2 linked regions of the Canis lupus familiaris genome follow. The main gene of each other region encodes a partner of the protein of the gene in region 2 in a complex. Links are inferred from orthologs where the notes say so. Each region holds a gene or a part of one and is shown on either strand. Other genes may lie near its edges.

Region 1 (7,788 bases), on a different chromosome or scaffold from region 2:
TCCCTTGGAGCCGCAGATGGCAGCCACCTCGGGAGGAGCTGAGGGCTCTGGGGCGCCCGCCCTGCCCCCACTGTCCCATGGGCCCTCTGGCCTCTCCTGTCAGTGACAGGTGTCACAGAGAGGCACAGGGTGCTGGGAGCCCAGGGCCCTGCCCTTGGAGGGCTGTGCGGTGTCCACAGGGCCGTGGGAGGGGACCCTGGCCAGAGCAGGTGCACAGTAGGCCCTTGGTGGACCTCCCCATACTTGCTGGAGTACAGGATGGAGCTGCAGAGCCTTGGCTGGCCCTCCCTGACCAGACCTGGAACTTTGGGAGAGGTGTGCTGGGAAACAGAAACCCCAGGCTGGAGGGGCGTGGACAGAGCACCCTCGCTTGGTGTGTGGAAGCCAGCCCCCCACCCCCAGTCTTACCAGTAGCTGAGCCCAGAGGAGAAAGGCCTGGGCAGCTGCTGGGGCTTTTTGTGGGGCGGCCCGCAGTGCTGAGGCTCAGTCACTCATGCCCCACTGAGCAGGTTGGCCCCACCCACCATGTCAGGGGTCTGCTCCCTGGCCGGGCCTCGGGGCAGGTGCTTTCCTTGAGGTCTACTTCTCAGTTTCTGCTCCCCGTAGGTCACATAGCTCTGGTCCTGTTGCAGGGGCAGGGGGCTGGGGTCAGTGTCTGGTGCTGTGGAGGCAGGTTGGGGGATGGCCTCAGTTGCCAGGCCACGCATGGTAGGAAGAGGAAGCCAGGAGCGGATGGCTGCGCAGCTAGGCCCTCCAGCCTGCGCCAAGGCTTGTAGCCCTGGGAGCAGATTCCACCTCAGTGGGGCATCCAGGGCTGGGACAGCCCGGCAGAGAGGAGGCCAGGGACCTGGAAGGTGGCCCGGAGGGCAGCAGGCCACTGGCTTGGGCTGGTGAGATGCTCATGTGTAGGCCAGGCCCTGGTCTTTGTTTCCCTTCAGGGCCTCCCCCTCCCCACCCTCCGTAGGTGCCCTGTGCTCGAAGGACGGTGAGTCTCTGAAGGGCCTACCAGAGCTGGAAGCTCCTGTTCTCCTGCCAGGCTCTGAGCACAGTCCCCTTTCCTGCCCCAGCTGCTCGGGCAGCCCCTCCCCTGGCCTCTGGGAGCACAGCGTGCTTCCTTCCTCCTGTAGCGGCTTCCCTTCCCAGGGCTGACAGCAGCAAGGATTTATCCCACAGACGGCCGGGCCCCTCGCCCTGCAGCTTCCTGGATGCCACCAGCCTCTGCGGCCTCGCCTTATCTAGTTCCTCCATCAGCCCCACCAGGGCCCTGGTGGCATCAGATCCCCACCCCTCTCTCTCTGGGCACCAAAGACTTGGAGTCCCCTCCATGGGGTTCCCAGATGAGCACAGGGCTGCTGAAGCCACCCCCTTGGAGGAGGGCCTAGCAGTCCCTGGGGTGCTCAGGTCTGGTGTGGACTGTGGCCGGATTAGCAAGTAAAAATAAAGGACATCCAGTTGAATTTGAGCTCCAGATAAAATATAAGTGCTGTTTTGACAGAAGTGTGCCCCATCAGTATCAGGGATGTGGGCCCATATCCAGGCCTTCCTTCCTGGGGCATCCCAAACACCAGGTCAGTGAAACAGACATGTGGAGCCACCTGGAGGGGGCTGCCCTGGACCCACTGGCCAGTCGAGCCGAGGGTCCCACACCTGCCTCAGTGGGCATTCAGGGGATGGTATAGCCCACCTCAGCACTGCAAGTAACCCTGGACCCGTTCTTTCCCCAGTTGGCTGGAGGCGTGATCCTGGGTGTGGCCCTGTGGCTGCGCCATGACCCACAGACCACCAACCTCCTCTATCTGGAGCTCGGGGACAGGCCTGCACCCAACACCTTCTATGTAGGTAAGTGCATGTGGGGTGGGCCCAGAACCTGGCTGGCACTGGGCTGGGGGCCAGCAGGAACGAGATCCACCAGGGTGTCTGCCAACAGGTGGTCAGGAAGGGCTTCCAGGAGGAGGCAGGGCATGGGCCAGGCCAGTGGGGCTTGCTGCAGTGCTGGGCTGCTGGGTGTGGAGGAGGCCTGCCAGCGGGGGCTCTTGGGGAGAGAGAGTGAGACAGAGATACTGTGGGTGGAGTCAGGTCAGCCTGGGGCCCTGGGGGGGGGGGGCGTTCGGAGGTGGTCCAGCCTGGCTGGGTGGGGGGTGCATGGGGCAGGAACCAGGCTGCCAGGCAAGTCTGGAACATCCCAGGGTGTGTGGGTGGTTGGGACTCACCAGTTGGCCTCTGGGGGCGGACTCGGGGCAGGAGGGGGAGCTGTCTCATGGTGGGTATTTCAGGGGAGGCTCCCTGGGCAGGGGCGGGGCTGGATGCCTGCCTGGGCTGCTGAGGCCCCTGAGGGGAGGGGGACTCTGGGCCCGGGGTGGGGCAGGGGCCAGTGTGCCTCAGGCCTCCCCAGCCACACCTTGCTGCCTTATTAGGCTGCGTGTCTGCCTCCCAGGCAGCAGCTGTGCCCTCAGGGTGTCCGTGGGGCTGGGGGTTGAGCCCCCACCCCTGCCCCCCCTTGCCTTGCAGAGCTGCACTCCTCCTTAGGTTGGTCCTGAGCCAGCGGGAGGCAGGGCCTGGCCCTCATGGGGCTCTGGAAGTCTTGTTTCTGTCCTTTAAAGGAAGGCCTGGCATGGCCCTCCTCCTCCCCAAAGGCCTAGCAGCAGGGCAGGAAGTATGTGTAGGCCTCTAGGTTGCGGGGCTCTGTATTAGGACCAGAGCCACCCCACTGGCCTGGTGCAGTGCGTGTGGCCTCGACAGGGTCTAGGTCCTTCCCAGCTGGTGTTCGGTGCCCCCCCACACACACACACACTTAGGATCACACTCGGTTGCTGGAGTGGGGATGGCCCAGGACACCCCAGGAGCATAGGGGGCATGTATGCCCCATCCCAGCCCATGACCCTCTGTGACCTGCAGGGTCGAGAGGTCTGACCCCGGAGCATCAATGAGGTGGCCCCTTTCTTCCCTGGAGATGGGAGCCTGTGGCTCTGGCAGTGGCCTCCGAGGGCCAGCTGACCTGGGGCGGGGGGGGGGGGGGGAGGGCGGGCTCCCAGGCCTCTGTCTCCAGATTCCTAGGCTCCCCTGGGTGGTGGGGCCTCTCCCAGGTTTGAGTCTCTGGAGGACAGGGCCCCTCTGCTTGCCTGCTCCAGGGATGCACATGGGGACCCCCACCAGGGCCTGGGCACCCTCAGGAGTGGGACTTTCAGCTTTGCCCACTTGTCCTACAGGCCTGCCTCCCCTTCCCCACAACCACTGGGCAGGACCCCACATCCTGCCTGTGGGCTGCTGCTGTCTGTGCGCCCTCTCCAGGACCCAGCATGCCATGGGTGTGGGCAGTGGTTTGGGAAGGGGTCACCCTCCTGCCCCATGGCCAGAGCTGCTCCTGCACTTATAGCCCTCCGTCTGGCCCAGCATGGTAGAGGAGCTGAAGGCTCCCTGGGTGCAGGCCAGGTATGGGCTGGGCAGGCTGGGGACACTGGTCACAGGCTCGGGCCCAGGCTGGGAGGAGTGAGGCTGCAGGACTGTGCCCGAGCTCCTGCGGGGAAGAGGTCCCATAGGAGAAGCTTATAGGGGGCAAAGTGGGTGTTGTCCAGAGGCTGTCCCTCACAGCTACTACACTGGGCTGTTGCCATGAGGCTGACCTTGGCTTACACACTGAGGGGAGCCTGCCCTGGGGAGGCACCTGGAGGGCGGAGTGGAGGCAGGGCCTGTCAGCCCTAGGCCTGAGCTGCTACTGTGTCCCCCATGGGCTGCTGTGTCCCCGCCCATCAAGGACTGGTCTTCTAGAGCCTCCCGCTGGCCCCAAGGTGGGCCAGGCCTGCCAGGGCGGTGGGGGAGCAGATGTAGGCCCTGACAAGGGTTCTTTGTCTGATGCTGGCAGAGGGGCAGGTTAGCAGGGCACACTCAACACCCCAGGCAATGCCACAGGGCCTGGTGGGTCCCCAGCCACACTTGTGGGAACCAGACCCCGGGGTTCTCGAGGAGCTGCGGGTCAGACGCCTGCCCCCGGGTGTCCGGCCCCTGGCATGACCTAGAACATCTGGCAGCTCCTCCCTGCACCTGTTGCAGTGTGCCCAAGCTCCCGTAGTGAGACAGGATTGGGGACCCGGGGACCCATGTTTCCTTGAGGTCCGAGGGCAGGGAGACTGAGCTGCAGGGTGCTGTGCCCCCTGGGCAGGAAGCCCCTGAGCCAGCCATGGCCGGAGGCCTCTCTTCCGCCAGGTCCACCAAGTGCTGTCCAGAGGCTTTGGCCAGGAGGAGGCCCTCGGCCATTTCCCAGCACAGTGTTTGGGCCTGGATGCCAGGCTGGCCAGACCCTGGAACCTGGGACCTTGGCTGTATGGACAGGGGCTTGGGCTGCTGTGATGGCAGGGGGACAGGCCCAGGCCCAGGATTGCTGGAAGGCCACAGTTGGCGTCTCCCAGTGGTCTCAGGGCCCTGTGTGGGTGGGCCAGGGGAACCTGCACTCCCCTGTGGTGGCCCTCCCTGCTTGCCCAGGAGCTCGTACCCAGCCTGGTGGGCAGCCCCTGTGTGCTGTCACCACGCCATCCTCCATGGGGCCAGGCCCCCTCATCCAGCAGGCTCCGGTCCCTGGGATCAGAGCCTCGGAAGCTGGCTCAAGCCCTCCTGGGGTTATGTCCCCTCCTCTCCCCTTGAGCCAAGAGCAGGGCCCTGTGCACCTGGAGAGGATGATCCTTTGTGGTCATCACCTCATCCCAGGGGCTCTCGGGAACCAGAGTGGGTGCAGGCTGCACGGGCCTCACCCCGGGAGCAGTTCCGTGTGAAGCTCTGAGGGCAGAGCCTTCTGAGTGCTCGCCCCTGCCGGTCAGTCCCACCGGGCCCCCTCAGCGGCCTGGCTCCAGGTGCAGACATGCAGGGGGGTGCTCACTCCGACGGCCAGGCCGCAGTGCCCTCCACTAGGGCAGGGGGGCCCAAGTCCTGGGCTGGGGGTGGGACGCATGGCTGGAGAGGGGCCGTGGCCTTTGGGACGCTGCTCACTGAGGGTGTCCCTGCTCTCCCACAAAGGCATCTACATCCTCATCGCCGTGGGCGCTGTGATGATGTTCGTTGGGTTCCTGGGCTGCTATGGGGCCATCCAGGAGTCCCAGTGCCTGCTGGGGACGGTAAGGTCGTGAGTGGGGCTGGGGGACACAGAGACAGAGCCTGGAGCTCTGCTGGGTGCATCCCTTGCCAGTGTGGGAGGCCGTGGAGGGGGGCTCGCAGGGCAGCCTGGGGACCTAGCCCAGAACGTCAGCCCCAACGTCCCTTTCTGGTCCTGAAATCCGGTCCTGGTTGACTGCTGGGATGTCTGGTTCCAAACTCAGAGTTCCACAGTTTTCCTCTCTGGTTTTAGTAAAAAGCCAGAAACAATAGGGCCATGTCCCTTGGGCCAACCTCCACGGGGACACAGAGGCCCAGGCAGTCGGGAAACGGGGCAGTGGGTGGCCGTGTCACGATGCTCCCTTCCCGTGGGCAGAGGGAGAAGTGGGGTGTGGAAGGGGCTTCCTTGGGACCCCAGCCCCAGCCTGTAGGGCTGCTGAGAACACTGGCATGTCACTGCTGGGACTGACTCTTCCCCCTCGCTGCTTTTCACCTCCGCACGGCTGCTCCCTGGATGGGACGTGCGGAGTGGAGGCCAACCCCACACATGCACCTGCGGGTCACTCGGACGTCCGGCATCTGCGTGACCCCACGCCTGTTCTCACCCCGCATGTCTCTGCCCTCCCCTCTGGGTCCTGCATGGCCTTCCCAGTTCTTCACCTGCCTCGTCATCCTGTTTGCCTGTGAAGTAGCTGCCGGCATCTGGGGCTTTGTCAACAAAGACCAGGTGAGCCCGGGATCACGGTGGTGGGGCCCATCCCAGCAGGGTCAGGAGGGAGGGGTGCCCGCCTGCTGCTCAGGTTGGGCCTACCCTGGGATCGCAGGGTGCTCTTTGGGGCTCCCCCTGGGGCCTGCCTGGTAGAAAGGCCACGGAGGGCTTTCTGGAGGAGGTGGCGCGGGGGCTGAGGAGAAGGCAGGGCCACCTGTCTCCCAGCCTCGAGTGGTGATGGGGGGCAATCCTGGTCTACCCTGGAAGCATTATCTTCTCAAGAGAGCCAGGTGAACCGCTTGCCCCCCTCTCTGGGGTGGTCCTTGCTGTGGGGTGACCTCGGCCCTCCCGCACACCCTCCCCCCAGATCGCCAAGGATGTGAAGCAATTCTACGACCAGGCTCTGCAGCAGGCCGTGGTGGACGACGAAGCCAACAATGCCAAGGCCGTGGTGAAGACCTTCCATGAGACGGTGCGGCAGGGGGTGCTGGGGGTGCAGGAGGGTTGTCCTCCGTGAGTGAGGCCTGGCTGGGGTTGAATCTGGTCTCCGTGGGGCACTGGAGACCTGGAAGCCCTTCTCCTGGAGGGCCGTGGAGCCCTATCTGGGACCCCCCCCCCCCCCCCGCCCAGGGGATTGTCTGGGACCTGCAGGTCCCCTGTGTGAGCCAGATGGGCAGTAGGAAGGCCTGGGTGTGGGGGTCTCTGAGCAGCACAGCCAAGGGTGGAGGGGATGAGGAGTCCTGGGCTGTTCTTCTTGAGGAGCAGACCCTCCCTGGCTGGGGACACCCCTGGGGCTTGGGCAGCCCACGGGGTGTATGTCCCTGGCCGTGTCCCTGTGGTCCTCTGTGCACACGGCCCGGGCTGACCGCAGGTGTCCTCCGTGCAGCTCAACTGCTGTGGCTCCAGCACGCTCTCCGCGCTCACCACCTCCATGCTCAAGAACAGCCTGTGTCCCTCTGGCAGCAACGTCATTAGCAACTTGTTCAAGGTACATGGAGCCCACTGGGCCGCCCAGGGTTGGCCCCACGTCGCGTCCAGCAGCCCAGCTGGGTTGGGCCCCTGGCTCTGCACACAGCACCTTCCGTTTCCACATCTGCTTTATTTATTTTAAACATTTTGAGAGAGAGAGTGAGCGAGAGGGAGAGGGAGAGAGAGAGAGAGAGAGAGAACACGAGCAGGAGGAGGGGCAGAGGGAGAAGCAGACTCCCTGCTAAGCAGGGAGCCCAACATGGGGATTGATCCCAGAACCCGGGACCTGCCCTGAACCCAAGACAGATGCTTCACCCGCTGAGCCTCCCAGGCGCCCCCTCCACATCTGCTTTAAAATGGACGTGAGATAACCTGGCAGAGACCAGGCCCTGGTGGCACGTCTTCAGGGAATCGAGCCCCTCCCTTCTCTTGCCACAATGACCCCGAGCCGCTGCACTGAGGGGCCCGAGGGCCTGCACTCCTGACCGTCGGCGGGCTGTCCCCCACAGGAGGACTGCCACCAGAAGATCGATGACCTCTTCTCGGGGAAGCTGTACCTCATTGGCATTGCAGCCATCGTGGTGGCCGTGATCATGGTGAGTACACGGGCCAGGCATCCGCGTGAGGCGGCCCCACAGTCTCCGGGTGCTGACAGTCCCACCCACCCGTCCCCACAGATCTTCGAGATGATCCTGAGCATGGTGCTCTGCTGCGGCATCCGGAACAGCTCCGTGTACTGAGCGGCCCCGGCTGCACCTGCTGCGGGGAGGGCCGCTGGGAACCCTGCAGGGCCCCTAGAGTGACCGGACATTCTGAGGAGGGGCCGTCAGCGCCTGTGTATATAACTTCTCTGGTATTACTCTGCTACACTTATTAGCCTTTTTACTTCTGAGGTTTTCTGTCCTGAAGTCCCCCGTTACCTTTTGGGGCTGAAGTCACCTAGAGACGGCGTGTGAGTGGGCCTTGGGGACCGTGAGGCAGGGGCCGCTCTGCTTCTGCAGCTGCTTGGGGGCTCCGCCTGCTTAGTCAGG
Region 2 (7,669 bases):
GGAGCAGTGACAAGGGACAGCAGGCAGGCTCAGGGCACAAGCCCCCAGCACCTACCCATGCATCGCTAGAGTGTCCAGGGGCCCAGGGACAGAGAACCTTACGGACTGGAGTGTTTTACCTGTGCCTGATGCTTTACCTTGGTGGGGGGGGGGACGCCCTCCCACTTCACAGATGAGTGAGCTGAGGGTGAGGGGGAAGGGAGCAGCCCAGGGAGATACCTAGGGCCACGGGTGGGCATGGCTCTTGTTCCTTCTGGAACAGGTAGCAGGAGGTGGTGCTGGGCAGATCACAGGTGGGGGTTTGGAGGGCCAGGGAGGTAACGCCGGCAGTGTTTGGATCCTGTCGAGTCCTGGGTGTGGGGGGTGGCGGGGCTGTGCACACACAGACTTGCAGCCCTGAAGACAGACAGACATACCCCACCCCGCCATACTCACAGCCTCACAGTCACATGGTTGTGCAGACAGATGGGCAGACACAGGACACAGTGGCACGGAGTCTCCAAAACAGCAACAAATGCGGAGTCTTTCCCCTCCAACTTTGGGAGTATCTGGCTGGTTGCAGTGGCCAGATTTGTCTTGCTTGTTGTCTGTGGCTGAATCTGTTGTTGAATATGCACACGGTGCCCGACCTGTGGGTCCTGGGCACACAGTAGGTGCTCAGGGACTCGTGGGAGATGACCTGGCTGCAGCCATAGGAACAGGAGAGGGTGTGCGTGTGTAGTCTGGGAAGGCTGCCTGGAGGAGGAGTGCTGCCCGCACCTCCCCAAGTGGGCCACCATGGTGACCCTATGCGCCCGCCGCCCCTCCCCGCCCCCACCGCAGGAGGAAGTCTCGGGATTACACCATCAAGGTGCACATGAACTTGCTGCTGGCTGTCTTCCTGCTGGATGTGAGCTTCCTGCTGAGCGAGCCGGTGGCCCTGGCCGGCTCCGAGGCTGGCTGCCGCGCCAGCGCCATCTTCCTGCACTTCTCTCTGCTCTCCTGCCTCTCCTGGATGGGCCTGGAGGGCTACAACCTCTACCGACTCGTGGTTGAGGTCTTCGGCACCTACGTCCCCGGCTACCTGCTCAAGCTGAGCATCATGGGCTGGGGTAGGTGGGCAGAGGGCGCTGGCAGGCCCCCCACGCCTGCCTCTTCTACTCGACTTCCTTTACCCATACATCCTCAGGTGTTCTTGGCCTTGGCTGGGTTAAGGACCCCTTTGGGAAGATGAAGTGCTGAGCACTGCCCCCAGAAACACATACTCTTCACATTGCTCACTTTTTAAAAGGAAGGTTTGCAGACAGCCACCATGTATGGATGTGCAGGTTGTGTACTGCTCAAAGGCACCCCGTTGGGGGATGAGTGGGCCGTAATCCCGTCCTCCACTCATCTAATGCACCCAGGCTGGCAGTGGCTCTGTCTGTGGATCCTCCAGCGCTTCAGATAACAGATTCTCCATAGCTCTGGTGTTTGTTCTTGGCCAAGACCACCCAGTTTACCATGGCCCAGACCTCTCAGGCCTGGAGGCCCAGGGGGCACACCACGAGTCCTTGTGGATGTTGCAGCAGCCCCCAAACTCCACATTCCCTCACCCAGCTTGCTGCTCCTCTGTGTTTCTCATCTGTCCCATTCTTGATTCACTCCATTGATTTACACAAAATCCCTTCAGAGTTGGCTCTGTGTCAAGACCTGGGTGTTTGGTGCTGGGTGACCACTTCTGGAGAGTCCTCGGTCCCCAGCTGGTGGGCAAAGTCGAGGCCCAGTGCAGAAGTCCCCTTTCCAGCTACCCCCCACCCCCCAGTCTGTGCCCCCGTCTCCTTGTGACGTCCTGCCCCCCAGCAGGGAAGCTCAGACCTTCTCTCCAGGGATGGAGGCCCAGGGGGCCCAGGATGGTGAGGGGGAAGGGGCAAGCCAGGGCGATGGGGCTCTCTATGGGAAACCTAAACTGGAGTGGGGGAGGGGAGGGTCTGATCACGGAGGACCCTCCTGGAGGAGGGGAGGGGAGGGGAGGGCACCCCCAGGCGGTGGGAGATGGAACTGCACGCTTGCTGCCGGCAGGCTTCCCTGTCTTCCTGGTGATGTTGGTGGCGCTGGTGGACATCAGTAACTATGGCCCCATCATCCTGGCTGTGCACAGGACTCCGGAGAGTGTCATCTACCCTTCCATGTGAGTGGCTGAGTGCGTGGGGGCGGGAACACGAGCCTGGGAGTGCGGAGCCACACTGCCACACTGACCTCGGGGCTCCTGGGCGCCAGGGCTGCTGGAGGCCTTGGCCTGGCAGGGAAGGTGGTGAAGGCGGCTCCCCGGCCCTCGGGGCCCCTGTGACGCACACCCACAGCCCAGAAGCACGGCACCAGCCCTGTCACCCCCTGAGCCCTCATGTCTTTGCTGTCAGGTGCTGGATCCGGGACTCCCTGGTCAGCCATGTCACCAACCTGGGCCTCTTCAGCCTGGTGTTTCTGTTCAACATGGCCATGCTGGGCACCATGGTGGTGCAGATCCTGCGGCTGCGCCCGCATGCTCACAAGTGGCCCCACGTGCTCACGCTGCTGGGGCTCAGCCTGGTCCTCGGTTTACCCTGGGCCTTGGTCTTCTTCTCCTTTGCTTCTGGCACCTTCCAGCTTGTGGTCCTCTACTTATTCAGCATCATCACCTCCTTCCAAGGTAGGCACAGAGAAGACCACCACCCCGGCCCCGGGTAGGGTACCCACGTGTGGAGTACGGGGCTGGGAAGATAGGGAGCCAACCCTGAAGGCTTCTCTGGGCCTCGGTCTTCCCATCTGTAAAATGGGGGCACCCAGGCCATAGTTGACAAGTCTTTATTGAGTACCTAGGACGTGGAGGCCCTGTGTGAAAACTTGGGGCTGCATCTGTGAACTAAGACTTGAACTCCTCTGGGTATCAGCCTCGTGGGGAGCTTGCTAGATGTGTAGACTCTGGCCATGCCAGACTTACTGAATCAGATCTGCACTGTAACAGATGCCCAGGGTGTGTGTGTGTGTGTGTGTGTGTGTGTGTGTGTGTGTCACAGGCTGCGGAGCTCTGGTCTAAGAGAGTGCTGGGCAGAGGGAGATGCAAGAGCCAAGGTCCTGAGGCTAAAACTAGGTGTGTGTTGGAAGGACAGTGAAGGGGAGCAAGGCTGAAGGGTAGCTGGGTAAGGGGCAGAGGGGAGGAGGGAAGGGGAGAGATGCAGAGGAGCTGGATCATGAGGGCTGGGGCTTGATGCCGGCAGGTCCCTCTACTGGGACCCCTCTACACCCCCTCCCCCACCAAGGACAGACAGACAGACATACACGCACACCCCTCTGTTCTGGCCGAGAGGTGCTTAAGCAGGTGTTCTGGAGCCTGAACACCACTGTTTAGCTCCTGGCTCAGTCAAGTCCCCTTACCTCCCTGTGCCTCAGTTTTCTCATTTGTGAAACAGAATAGTAATGAATAGGCCTGACCTCATGAGAATCTCGAGAGGATAAAGTGAGATGGGGCCCAGGAAATCTCAGTGTCTGGGGCACGGTGGGTGTTCCCTTGATCACATGGGTGCTGGTAGCCTGTAGGGAGGAGGGGAGGGAAGGGGCAGGGCTGCCCGCCCCCCCGCTGAACCCCATGCCCCCTCCCTGCCCACAGGCTTCTTCATCTTCCTCTGGTACTGGTCCATGCGGCTGCAGGCCCGGGGCGGGCCCTCGCCTCTGAAAAGCAGCTCGGACAGCGCCAGGCTCCCCATCAGTTCGGGCAGCACCTCGTCCAGCCGCATCTAGGCCACCAGCCACCCGCCAGAAGCTGCCTGAGGAACCAGAGATGGGGCTTGTCCTCACCACCACCTGCCACCCCCACAGCCAGGCCTGACACTTGATGGTCAGCCAGAGACTTGAGAGGAAGGCCCAAGGACCTTGGGGTGAGGGGGCTGTTGCCTTGGCAGCCAGACGCCCAGGCTCGGCCCTTTGAATTGGCCTGTGTACTACTCGGCTCTCCGGCCCCGCTTACAAGAGGCTCAGGAGTAGGACCTGTACCCCCACTGTCCTGAGGGCTGAAGGCTGGTCTTAACTCACCACCCCTGGGCCCAGCCCTCATTGCTGAGGATGGGAGGCCACAGGCCCCAAGGTCAAGACCTAGACCTGTGAGGCCTGGCACCATCCTTGGCCCTGTGCCCCAGCCCCGGACAGAATGTGCCAGAGCTACTGTCTCTGGTGAGCTCCACGAGGGCCCTCTGCGGTCCTGTCATTTTAGCCTGAGAGTGGTACTCAGGGCACACGAGTGTGGGGCAGAGCTTTGAGCCAGAGCCCTGGAGGAGGAGAGCCCCCTGCAGCAGCAGCTCCTCTACCTCTGAGCCCAGCACCTCAGCCTCCCCAGCCGCCATCCCTCTCCAGCCCCGGATTCAGCCAATTCCAGTGCTGTATTTTGGGTTGTGGTTGCCAAGAGCTGCTTGGTGCCTGCTGTAAACCTTTATCTACTGCACGGGCCTTTGCCTGCCTTTGACTCAGGCTTAGTATAGATGTTCTGGGCTGGGCCAGGTCTGTCTGTCCATCTGGGCCTTTCTATAGGCTGCCTTGCCCTTGTTCACCACTGCCAAGCCCACCCCTCACAGGGACTGTCAGCCTCTCCCAAAGCCCTCTTGTGGCAAGAACTGTGGAGCATAGCAGGGCAAATTTGCTTCTGCCCCAGTACTGGGAAGACTGAGGTGCGTCTCCCCTGGTGACCCTGGCCTAGAGCCTAACAGGCTCCTCAGGAGCTACAGGCACGGGATTAGGGATTGCTGGAGATCCAGGAAGACTTCCTGTAGGAGGCAACATTTGATCTGGCTCTCAGCCTTAAACATGGGGAGGACTTTCTTTTTAAGCACTAGCTCATTTGTCTTTTGAATTTAAAGAAGTAGATGTTCATTGTAGAGAATTTGGAAACTATAGAAGAAAAGAAATTAAAATCAGCTGTTGTTAATACCTAACAAACTAATGTAAACGTTTGGAGCGCTTCCTTTTGTGCTTCTATTAAGAGTCATTGATACAAACCCCTTAGGCCCAATCAGGAAACACAGATGAGAGAAGGTGGCCATGTGTGAAAAAAATCAACTGCTGGAAACTTTATCCACCAGGACAGGCAGGGGATAAAGGGTTCCTTGGCATCAGTGTTGGGAAGGCAGTGGGGAATGTTGGGGTCTGTGGTGGATTGGAGATGATTAACCCGATGCCGTGGGGCAGCAGCCACTCAGCTCCAGCCGCCCACTGCCCTGAGCAGGGATGCAGGGATGAAGGTCCATGTAGCCATACCACCCACCTTTTATGATAAATCAGGAATCGATTGTGTGGGCGCAAAATCCCTTGATTTAAAAGTCTGACTCATCCAGAAAATTCACTGGCCAAAGAAATCAGATGTGGGGACTGAATTCAGCCCTTGGATGGTCATGTGACGTACGGAACCGGTTTGTGGGCTGGAATGAAGTAGGTGGGCTGCAAGAAGCAATGATTGGACTTGCCTCCCATCACCACCTCCAGCCCAGTTCCGTCCAAGCTGCTGTGCCCGTGCCCCGTGGCTCAGGCAAGGAGGATCTGTGCGGCTCGGTTGCGAGAGGAGCGGCGTCTGAGCCCAGCTGTGTGCATCCAGGTCCACCCCGAGCTTCTGCCCAGCGCAGCCGCCTCCCTCGTCTCCTGGCTGCTCCAGGGGGATGACGGGCTGGGGGAAATGGACAGGATGGGTGCAAGGCCACCTTAGCCATGGAGAGTAGACTGGCAGTGCCCTCTGATGGGTGACTGTGGGATCCGGAGACCTGCGGGGACCTCGGCACGCAGCGCCTCCCTGTGCCCGGCTTCTCTTCCAATGCTCTCTGCTCCTCTGTCCCGTTGGCTTCTGCCTCCACTTTCTGCGAGTCCTGAGGACAGAGGCAAGCCTGGCCCCCAGTGCCCTGCTTGGGCAGATTGGGTGGGGGGTCAGAGCCAGCTCCCTCCTCACAGGCCTCTCAGTCTCTGCAGGAAGGTCTCCTGGAGCGCCACACCTTGGCTAGACCTGGGGGCACGTCCTCCCATCCTCAGGGAGGGAAGGAAAGGACCCAGCTCCCTGCTGCCCCCCCGCCCGGCAGAGAGCACTCCCTTCAAACACATTCTCCCACTTTGGAGAGCTCTTGCATTTTAGGTTTTGTGTTTGAGGCTGGCTCAGGTAGCAGGGAAAGGGGTCTCGGGTCGGATCCCACCTTCTCGGGACAGGTGCTGGACAGGCCCCTCGACGGCTCTTCTCATGCTCTTCAGCGGGCCGTGGGGCCTCAGACAGCAGGACCGCTCTTCTCAGGACACAACCAGGTTTGCGTGTGGGGACGTTGCTCTGGTGTGGGAAACGCACTGAAGAGGCCAGAAGGGCAAATGTGGGCTGGGCCTGGCCAGAAGCCTGGAGGCCTTGTCCCTAGAGACAGAAGCCCACCTGGAGCCACGGGGACAAATCAGTGGTGAGAGGAGGTGGCAGAAAGGGAAGTTATAGTTCCCTGTGTGCTGGGATTTGGAGGTCCCGGGGCTCTGTCCATGGCTCCAGGCCAGCCCCCAGCCCCGATGGGGCCTAGGAGGGGTGGCCCTCCCCCTGGCCCTGTCCAGCTATCTTGGCCACTTTGCCAGCCCGCCGCCCCCTGTCCTGTTTTTCCAGGTATGCTGGACACTCTGGGTGCCTCCTTCTGGGCCCTTCTTCACACACAGGCCCCCATGAGCCCCTTTGAGGGCCCTGGTACTAGCATGGGTCTGCAGCGATAGTGCCAGCCAGTGGCAGTTCCCAAAGCCCTTGTCTGCCATCTCGCCTCACCTGGCTGCCGCTGGGAGGGAGGGGGAACGGGCCGTGCTTCCCATCTGGCCCCAAGTCTTCCCTGCAGAGGAAGTGCCTGGGACACCGTGCCAGATTCCCACCTGCCACCCCCGTCCCAGGAGTGACGCCGCTGACATCCTCTTCCCAACACTCTCCAGGTCCAGGGGGCCCAGAAGGGGACTGATTCCTGCCTGGACACTGTGTGGGAGGAAGAGGCTGGGTGGGTCCTCAGACCCCCATGGTAGAGCATGTGGCGCACTGGCCCTGGAGGGGAGGGGATGCTGGGAGGATGCGCCTTCTTGGCAGGGTGTTCCTACCCTTGATCTTGCAGTGACCATGGGACCATGCCAAAGGCCCTGGCCTTATCCACAGAGCCACCAGATCTGGGGCCTGAGTGGTCAGCCCCTCCCCTTCCCTCGTGGCACTCCCCATGTGTGTCTGCTGCTCTCACTTCCTGTCTGGGCCACCGGTGACTGGTTGGATGATATGACAGTAATTGCACAGTACTGACCATCATAAAAAGATAATGGCCATGGCCACACCCAGTGGTCTAGACAATTCTACATACACAGAATAAGTTCTTTGCATGTCTGGGAGGCTCAGAGCAGCAGACAGCTCACCCAAGCTCACCCAGCCATGAAGGCCAGGGCAGATGTCAGCCCAGGCCTGACCAACCCCAAAGCCCATGCTCCTGCACACCCCATCCTGCCTCTCCCATTATCTAGCCTGGTCGGGGAAGGCTGGGGCCTACACAGCTGAGCCTTCTCTCTTCCGATGGTCCCAACAGACTTGGCCTTGATCCGACTCTTGTTCAAACCATAGGTATAAGTGAAGGAGCATGAGCTATCCGCATCCCTCTAGCCAGGATTGTGCCTGGCATGGTACGGATCTCCTCAAACCCCAACACGGCCCTGCCTG

The links. The genes of interacting proteins can lie anywhere in the genome.
Region 1: ADGRG1 (region 2) and CD81 share a complex: the UniProt entries of both Homo sapiens proteins name them as parts of the GPCR-tetraspanin complex. The link is inferred for Canis lupus familiaris from reciprocal best matches to the Homo sapiens genes ADGRG1 and CD81.

The regions. Positions count from the first base shown.
Region 1 is NC_049239.1:46,921,114-46,928,901, forward strand, and holds part of CD81 (CD81 antigen), read left to right. Parts: intron 1-296; exon of another isoform or gene 297-315; intron 316-1,724; coding exon 1,725-1,839; intron 1,840-5,004; coding exon 5,005-5,102; intron 5,103-5,731; coding exon 5,732-5,806; intron 5,807-6,155; coding exon 6,156-6,260; intron 6,261-6,674; coding exon 6,675-6,776; intron 6,777-7,266; coding exon 7,267-7,353; intron 7,354-7,434; coding exon 7,435-7,497; 3' UTR 7,498-7,788. UniProt on the Homo sapiens protein: Structural component of specialized membrane microdomains known as tetraspanin-enriched microdomains (TERMs), which act as platforms for receptor clustering and signaling.
Region 2 is NC_049223.1:58,073,895-58,081,563, reverse strand, and holds the end of ADGRG1 (adhesion G-protein coupled receptor G1), read left to right. Parts: intron 1-822; coding exon 823-1,091; intron 1,092-2,040; coding exon 2,041-2,149; intron 2,150-2,378; coding exon 2,379-2,647; intron 2,648-3,604; coding exon 3,605-3,735; 3' UTR 3,736-4,933; downstream 4,934-7,669. UniProt on the Homo sapiens protein: Adhesion G-protein coupled receptor (aGPCR) for steroid hormone 17alpha-hydroxypregnenolone (17-OH), which is involved in cell adhesion and cell-cell interactions.